2 linked regions of the Oryzias latipes genome follow. The protein of the gene in region 1 binds, or shares a complex with, the protein of each later gene. Links are inferred from orthologs where the notes say so. Each region holds a gene or a part of one and is shown on either strand. Other genes may lie near its edges.

Region 1 (3,650 bases):
TGGATTTATTGCTTGAAACATAATGGGAAGAAGCAATCTTATATAGTGTCACCTCTACATTATATAGACCCCTAATAGATAGTTAAACTATCAACCTAATATAATTTCAAAGCAGGTAAAGGCAAAATTTACAGAACATTACAATTTATTTTGTATAAAATAACCTCATCAGAAACACAACAACTAAAATTTACATCATTGACTTTGCGTGGGTCTTTGTCAGGAACTTAAAAAATAAAACTTGATTTGAAGTATTTGTTTCCTCTCTGTAATCTCTGTACAGTGGATTAACAAATACATTTGTAGTCATTTTGACAACCTGCATTTTAAAAAGAAAAACTAAAATTTGACAAAAAATATGTTAGTGTTTCAAATGCATGCATGACGTTGGCAATAAAATTCTTGTATTTACTCAGAATGCTTAAAATGTGGTCCATTCTTACATTCATACATTCTTAAGAAGTAGTTACCACATACTTTTCATATTATGGTAATCTGCTTCATCTCATTAAATGGGGTGTATGTGCCTTTGCACACCAGGTTATGAAAGAAAAACACAAAGCCTTTGCTGTTTTGAGACAAATCTTCAATGCTGCAATTAGAGTTAGCAAATTCTAGACCAGGGTTCACCAACCTTTTTGAGACCGAGGGCTATTTCATGGGCACCAAGTGGTATGAAGGGCGCCACTAAAAACCTCCTAGCCCCCCCCCCCCCCCCCCCCAAAAAAAAAAAACAACACAATTTGAGGACTTCCTTTTGAGTGCCCTATTTTTATTTGCTCATTTTACACACAAAAACATGCATGAATTTTCTAGACTCGTAATACAGGGGGGGGGGGGGGGGGGGGGGGGGGTCAAACTCAGTTGCAGAGGGAGCCTAATTTCAAAACAGACTTTAGGTTGCAGCCGAACAAGATAAATATTTATTGAACACACTAAAGCTAAACTTTTAAACCTTTAAAACTTTAACTTAATTTTAACTTTTTAAACATAAATGTAAATAAAAACAGACAGGAATATTAATCCTCACATTAATGGATTACTCAACCACCTCAACCTATTCTCAAAATCTTTACATTACATGAATCATAAGAATGTCCAGAAATTGTGTAATTTATTTGATCTATTTAAACTTTTGTAATAGACCCTTACTTTTAGTGATTATTTTTTAAGTTATATTTGTTTACATATTTGGGTTTTCTTTGTCTACCTTTATCTCAGAATTGATATTGTTGTCATTGACAGACATGCCGTGGTTGTTTGTTGAATATTTTCTTCAATAAAAAAAAAAAAAGATTTTTTTGGGTGCATTCCCTGCGGGCGCCACAAGGGTTGCTCACGGGCGCACTGGCGCCTGCGGGCACAGGGTTGGTGACCCCTGTTCTAGACCAATCACAGTTTTACGGCATTTATAAACAATGAATAGTCATATATGTATGGAAAATTAAAGTGAAAACAGTTAAGCTTCCATAGATAGCCTTTTACCGTGGAATATTTAAAAAAAAGGTAAATAATGGACTTTCTTACGCGCCAATGGACACAGATGACTTCACTCTGGGCCTCATGATTGACTGTTGGGTAAAGATCATCTGCACAAAGCATAAACAGAGAAAAACAGCTTCTAAAAGGATTCAATGACAAGTTGACTTTAAAAAAAAATCAAACAAAACTCTAAAACTGACTTACAATTCTCTCATAGTGGTCAGGGGTTTTTGTCTGAAGGGAGAAAATATATACATTAGTTAAATTTTTATATTTCAGTTTTCAGGTTAGAATTTTCAGAAAACATTTAGTTGTAGAATAAACTCTAAAGAGGATACGCCTGCAAGAGAGGAGAAAAGACAAAAGAAAAAAAGACACTTTAGAAGTACTGCATTCATCCTTTGAAGCTTCTTAATGAACATAAGCCGATTGACAGGAATTATGTTCATACAGGTCATGCAGATACTCACCCATTACCTCCTCTGCATTGGGATCTGCTTGTCGCTCCAGCCCATAGTCCATGGCGCTCACCGTCCCCGGCTACAGTCCCACACAAAACGACAATTAGGCAATGTGTGTTTTCCAGAGCACTAATTACCCCAATGCCCTTTGATGCTGTACATCGTGTGTCAGTTTTTTCAGCCGCGCACACAAGGAGATTAGTCACCCGAGCTGAATGGGACTCACACCTTTCAGGTAATTAGACTGTTTAAGGCAGACACTTTGACACAAAGATGACAAATTAAGAGACTACTGGAGCGTGCATATTTTAGGTGAGCAGATCTGTTTTGTCAGGTAAAATATTTGAATGCTTTCTTAACTTCTGTGTGTGGAAGTGTAATTCATTCTGACCTCTCAGGGGGGTGAAAACATCTTCATTAAAATGCCTGTGGCTACAACTTAATATGAACATGTTATCTGCTTAATATCTTGGTCTCTGTCTGTCCATCCTTTACCCTGTGAAACATATTTATACGTTCTTTTTAGAATACAAGCTGTACGTTTTTTTCCATGCTGTTTCTACAAAGTTCAATGAATATTGTTTAAATAGCTGGAGCCAGTGCAGGCCACTAATTAACCAACAGGGGGCTGGTAACTGATTACCAGTAAGCCAATCCATATCTATATTAGCAATAAATGGTAAAACTTTACAACAGACTGCCACATTTTGATTTTTTTATGACTAAAGTCATGTTTTGATTTCAGATTGTGCACCAGTGAACAACCAACTCTACAAAACCCTTTTGGGTTTGTCGTGACAATTGTTGTACATTTTTGTTCTGTGTTTTTGCACATTTTTAATGGTAAGGAAAGGATGATCCTGCCTTCACCAATAAATAGATCAAGAGACCTAAAAGAAACTGCGATCAATGCAATATTAATTGGTCATAAAATTGAAAAAAAACATTTTTTTTCCTCTGTGGCTAATGTTAAAACTATTAAAAGTCTGACTGTGATACATTTCAATATAGGTGCTGTCTTTTTTCTTTTTAATAAAAAAAAAGTAAAAAGAAAAAAAAAATGGGTGTTTGATTCATTGATAACAGAAGCTCTATAAAACATTTATGGTTGTCCTTCAACAAGCCTGTTTATAGAAAAATTCCCCTTTTTTTAATAGTGTCATATCCTGCCGAGATGACAACAAGCACAGAGCTGAAGAACTCGCAATGAGTCACTCCACCATAAACCAGTGGGTCACATGACCACAACCGCCACTAACCTATAAACAATCAGATGACCTTTTCTGTGGGGGCTTTTTTAGAACAGAATGTTTCTATCAGAGAATGAACAATTACACTTTATTCCCCTCTCATTCAAAGCTTTGGGTTGTCTTTCGACGGTTTCTAGAGTCAAAATCAAATATGGAGAACTCCTTCTTGCGATTTCAATCTACCGCGTCCTAACTCCTCCAGCGCCATCGGGAGGCTACTAGAGAAAAATGTTGGATTTACAAGTTGTACATTTTAAACGGCAATAGTAATGACAAGCTTGCAAATATGGTGTTTGCTCTCTTTTTTTTTGTGTGTGAAAAAATGTGAAAATGTAATATATATATATCATAAATGTGTGTGTGGTTAACAAAAAAACACAGTTGCCAAAGAAAATCCGACAGTTTACTTTTGCCGATTCATATAAAAATTACATTGATTTGTTCGTCACCCCCAAGT
Region 2 (4,242 bases), on another chromosome or scaffold:
TTTGAATATTGCTAGATATGGAATTGGAAACTTTCTAAAGTTCACGTTTTCACTGTTCTGCAATCTTCTGAAACCACTCGTGTTCTTCAGCCAACCTCACCTTTGCACCACTCCCCAAATATCTTCAAATACTCTTAGAACTAAAACTATCAAGGAGTTTAAACCTGCATGTCATTCTCATTTAACACTCTGCTAACACTAAGGTTGTTAGGTCTGGGAGTAAAGCCAAACCTGAAATACCTTTAAGTACATTATCTTGGCAGTGTTTACAAACTCTTTAAACGTGTTTTGGTGGTAGAATTGTGTCAAATGAAGTATTAACATACAAAAGAATCCTGATTTTAGGTGTGTTTCAAAATTTTATTATATTAAATATACTTATGTACATTATCTGATGCTGCAGTACAGACCGTATGTACAAACCATCTACTAACATTTTGCAAAAGGTTTACATTCAACACTGCTTACAAGAAAACCCTGAAAAGGAACAGGCTTACAGTGAACAGGTGCATTAAAAGACAAATCTTATTGTAGGTCCCAAGGCTCGTTGAGATTTTAGTGCAGTGAAGCTAGATGCATGCCCACTGTAACCTTAACCCTTGTGCTATCCTATGACCCCACCCTTACATTGACGTGTCATTCCTACCATGCCAAAGGTGGATAAAGGTGGAAAGATTTCATGTAATCCATGGACACCAGTGAGGTTCACAAATCATTGAAGAAAAAAGGTTCAGAGCACTGTCTAGTGGGTCTAGATGACCCAACTCCCAATGTTAAAGTGCCTAGGATAGCACAAGGGTTACGGAAGAGGAGGTGAGGTGGATGTTGAAGAGTGCAGATTTGATCTTAGCCGGTCTGTGATAGCAGAAGCCAGGATTAACTGTTCTTTCTCTGCTGTATTGGGTTTTAACAGGCTTATATAGCATAGAACTAATGCTCAGACCAGATGGTACTTTTGCTTGTTTGAAGACATTTGACTTTCCTGAACCGAAGTGAGAAAAGTAAAACATCAATCTGCCAGACAGAAATGGGAATACTTATCCACAGGCTACATTTATCTCCAATAATCCACTTGGATTAGGTGTTGTTTGTGTCATTCTGGTGGCCAGACGCTGTCACGTAATTTGTGACTCCTTTTTCTAAAAATAAATTACCATTTTCACCCACTCTCTCATTCACAAAGCACACACAGACTACAATTATCTACATCTGATCAAGTGCAGCCCCTCTCCTCCACGAATTACATTCAAGAATTTAAGAGAAGTCAACAATGTATTCATATTGGATCCCCTTGAAGCCCTGTTTGCCTCCTGGGCAGGTGACAGCTCTTCCCTGTGGAGGCGCTCCACGCGCGGGGTGTCCATCCGCGTGGGCTATAATATATATAATTTTTTTATTTTGGTTTGTTAGTTTCAGAATATTCAGGACATGTTGATCACCAAATATCCTAAAACCAAAGCAACAGTAACGATCAAAAGGAATCCGATGACAGCGCCGACCGAGCCAAATCCACCGCCTCTACTGCCTTCACCTTCATCATCTTTGGGCTCCTCTTCGCAGATGGAGATAACGCCCACGGAGGAATTCCCTACACTCAGGTTGGATTTGAGTTCGGCCCCGGCTTCCTGCTTCGCCACGACGGCCCACGGCGCCACTTGGACCTTCATCTCCATTTCCTCCATCATCTGGCTCACCTGGGTGATCTCGCTCTGCAGGTCTTTCAGGTCCGCCGTGTCGATGTTGCTGTCCGCCTCGTACTTCATATTCTGCACGCTCATGGCGCGCGCCGCCACGGTGCTGGTGCTGCCGGTCATCCCCGTCTGGATCAGGTGTCTGGTGGGCACCTTAAGGGGGAAGTCCTGCCCGATTTCCAGGGACCTTTTCATGTCCACCTCCAGGAGCTCCATGCTGCTGGAGAACAGCACCCACAGGCGCTCGTACTCGGCGCGGTCTTCCTTGCTGATGGACTTGTCTTTGAGCAGGGTGGTCAGTTTAGTCCTGTTGGCGACTGCCAACTCTTGCGCCTTTTTGCGGGTCCTCTTCAGCTCCTCGCGCAAATTTTGGGAGTCTGATGTGCTTCCAAGCGCGATGACCAAGTGTCTGTAGCAGGCTGTGACTTTGTTCAAAGCATCTAGCATTGTTTTGCACTCTTCTTTCCCCATTGTTAGTTATAAAATAGCTGTATCCTGATTAGAAATTTTCAACAAAAAAAGAGCTTGAGGAAAAATGGCGAACTGTTGGTGGTGCTTGGAGCCACTGTGCACATGCGGGTTAGATTCCCCGGGAGCTCACCGCCCGCTCTGCAAATCCACTCAAGGCACTACTCAGAGCAAATTCCTCTCTATCCATCATGCTCTCTCCCGTAAATAGGCACAAAGGGAGGCTTAGAAATCTAAGCTTATGTCTTCTAGTCGGATTGATGATACCTTTACGCTTCCCCGACGCGGGATCAGACGGCGCCAGAGCTCCTCTCCTGCTGGACCACGGCGAACTGATGTGAAACAATTCCGCCCCCCGCGCTTCAACAAGACCCGGTGATTAAGCTCTACAGGTGCCCCGATATCCGCCCCTGCAGGAGAGCACGATGCCTTCACCGCCTCCCCGACTCAGCCACTCAAAGGAGTCAAAATCGTGGAGCAAAAATGGGGCTCTCCATTTACTGCTGTGAAGCATCCGGTGGCACAAGCTGAACGAGCCATTGCGCGTTCATCTGTTTATCTGCGTGGGGAGCTGTCCACTTCAGCACCCAATCGACGGTGTTTAAATAGCTGTGTGCGCCTTCAGCGGTCACATGCGGGCATAAAACGGAGCCTTTCAGAGGCAGGCAGGCAAACAAAAGGATTCACTCCCATTGGTTTGATCACTTTGGCGCCCGCCTACAATGCCTCCTGTCATTGGCTGCTCGGATCTCATATCACAGAGCCTCAATGGATCTGCCACTAACACTTACCACTCATGTTTTCATGATTTTAAGTTTCGCAAAGAAAAACACAAATAAAGTTTATGTAGGTGCATGATAAATGAGGTTTAAAATTATTTTAGCCACCCTTTCAACTAATTCAATTAAGAGAGATAAGACTGAGTGCTGTCACAATACATGCCCGTACATCCATGGAGACCACAAAAGGTGCCAATTGTTGCACACATGCTGGCTACATAATGTGCTGTTAGGTTTTTTCTCCTGCTGTGCTGAGAGGGTGAGTCAAGTAAGGCCACGAGGGGTTTGCCCGCTTTGCTCTTTTTGCATTATTGAAGCAGATGGGGTCTAATGATCCAGTAAATACAGTAGGGAGCTAATGGACTAAAGCACATGGGGATGCCAAAGGAAGCAATAAGAATGGCTCAATGTTTGTGTAACATAATCATTTCTGGATTTTCATGATCAATCCTGCAAAAAATAAAAAACTTCCCCTGGTTTCAGTCCCCATTCAAGCTTTATTTAAATTATTTAAAAATGCGTTATGTGATTTGATCTCATTAAATAATCTGCAGTGCATTGGCAAAATCTGCCATATTTGACTAATAAGAAATATCTTTCACTGAGTCATATGCCCTAAACAAATGGACTCTTTCTTTAGATGAAAATGTCACCATGGTAGTAACCGTTGGTGTTTTACCAGGTATTTCTTGGTTGTTATTCTTGAAGGTATTATTCCTGTTTTTTGTGGATCTGTATACTGGAGTTACTTTTAGCTGTTAAAATAGACGGTAATTAACTATTTGAATAGCTGGACTATGACTAGGCAGTGATGCTTGAGCCAGATTCTGGTTTTGAAACTTTGAGTGATTAAATTAAATCAATCATCACATTTTTTTTTGGGGGGGGGGGGGGGGGGGGGGGGGGGGCTGGAATGTCTAAGCCAACTGAAAAGTTTAATCTACATGCACATGAGTTATTTTAATCTTTATGAAGAAGACCTTGTCACAGTTCCTGTGTAAAAGAACTTGGCGCTTGGCCTATAAACAGGTCCAAACTGGGGAATTTGGGGCCATTTTATTCTGGCTTCATTGCCTTTTCAGAGAACTGCTACCAGAATGAAATCGGTACTGTTTGTCTCTGTTGATGAGATTGCTGACAACCTGGTCTGTAGGGTTCAAGTGCTGAGAATGAGTCAAGCCTTGGTTTGATTCCTCTCAGTGTGAACGCATCGAGACAATCAATTCCTGATTTCCTGCAGAACCAGTCTGTCATGGAGCCATGCAGAGATATAAAGCAATGTAACACTACTTCTTCAAATTAAA

The links. Proteins that work in one complex are often made in the same cells at the same time.
Region 2: rgs9 (region 1) and regulator of G-protein signaling 9-binding protein-like share a complex: the UniProt entries of both Homo sapiens proteins name them as parts of the RGS9-1-Gbeta5 complex. The link is inferred for Oryzias latipes from reciprocal best matches to the Homo sapiens genes RGS9 and RGS9BP.

The regions. Positions count from the first base shown.
Region 1 is NC_019877.2:13,914,703-13,918,352, reverse strand, and holds part of rgs9 (regulator of G-protein signaling 9), read right to left. Parts: intron 2,023-3,650; coding exon 1,960-2,022; exon of another isoform or gene 1,953-1,959; intron 1,717-1,952; coding exon 1,687-1,716; intron 1,590-1,686; coding exon 1,528-1,589; intron 1-1,527. UniProt on the Homo sapiens protein: Inhibits signal transduction by increasing the GTPase activity of G protein alpha subunits thereby driving them into their inactive GDP-bound form. Binds to GNAT1. Involved in phototransduction; key element in the recovery phase of visual transduction.
Region 2 is NC_019861.2:25,736,269-25,740,510, reverse strand, and holds regulator of G-protein signaling 9-binding protein-like, read right to left. Parts: upstream 2,819-4,242; 5' UTR 2,163-2,818; coding exon 1,422-2,162; 3' UTR 340-1,421; downstream 1-339. UniProt on the Homo sapiens protein: Regulator of G protein-coupled receptor (GPCR) signaling in phototransduction. Participates in the recovery phase of visual transduction via its interaction with RGS9-1 isoform.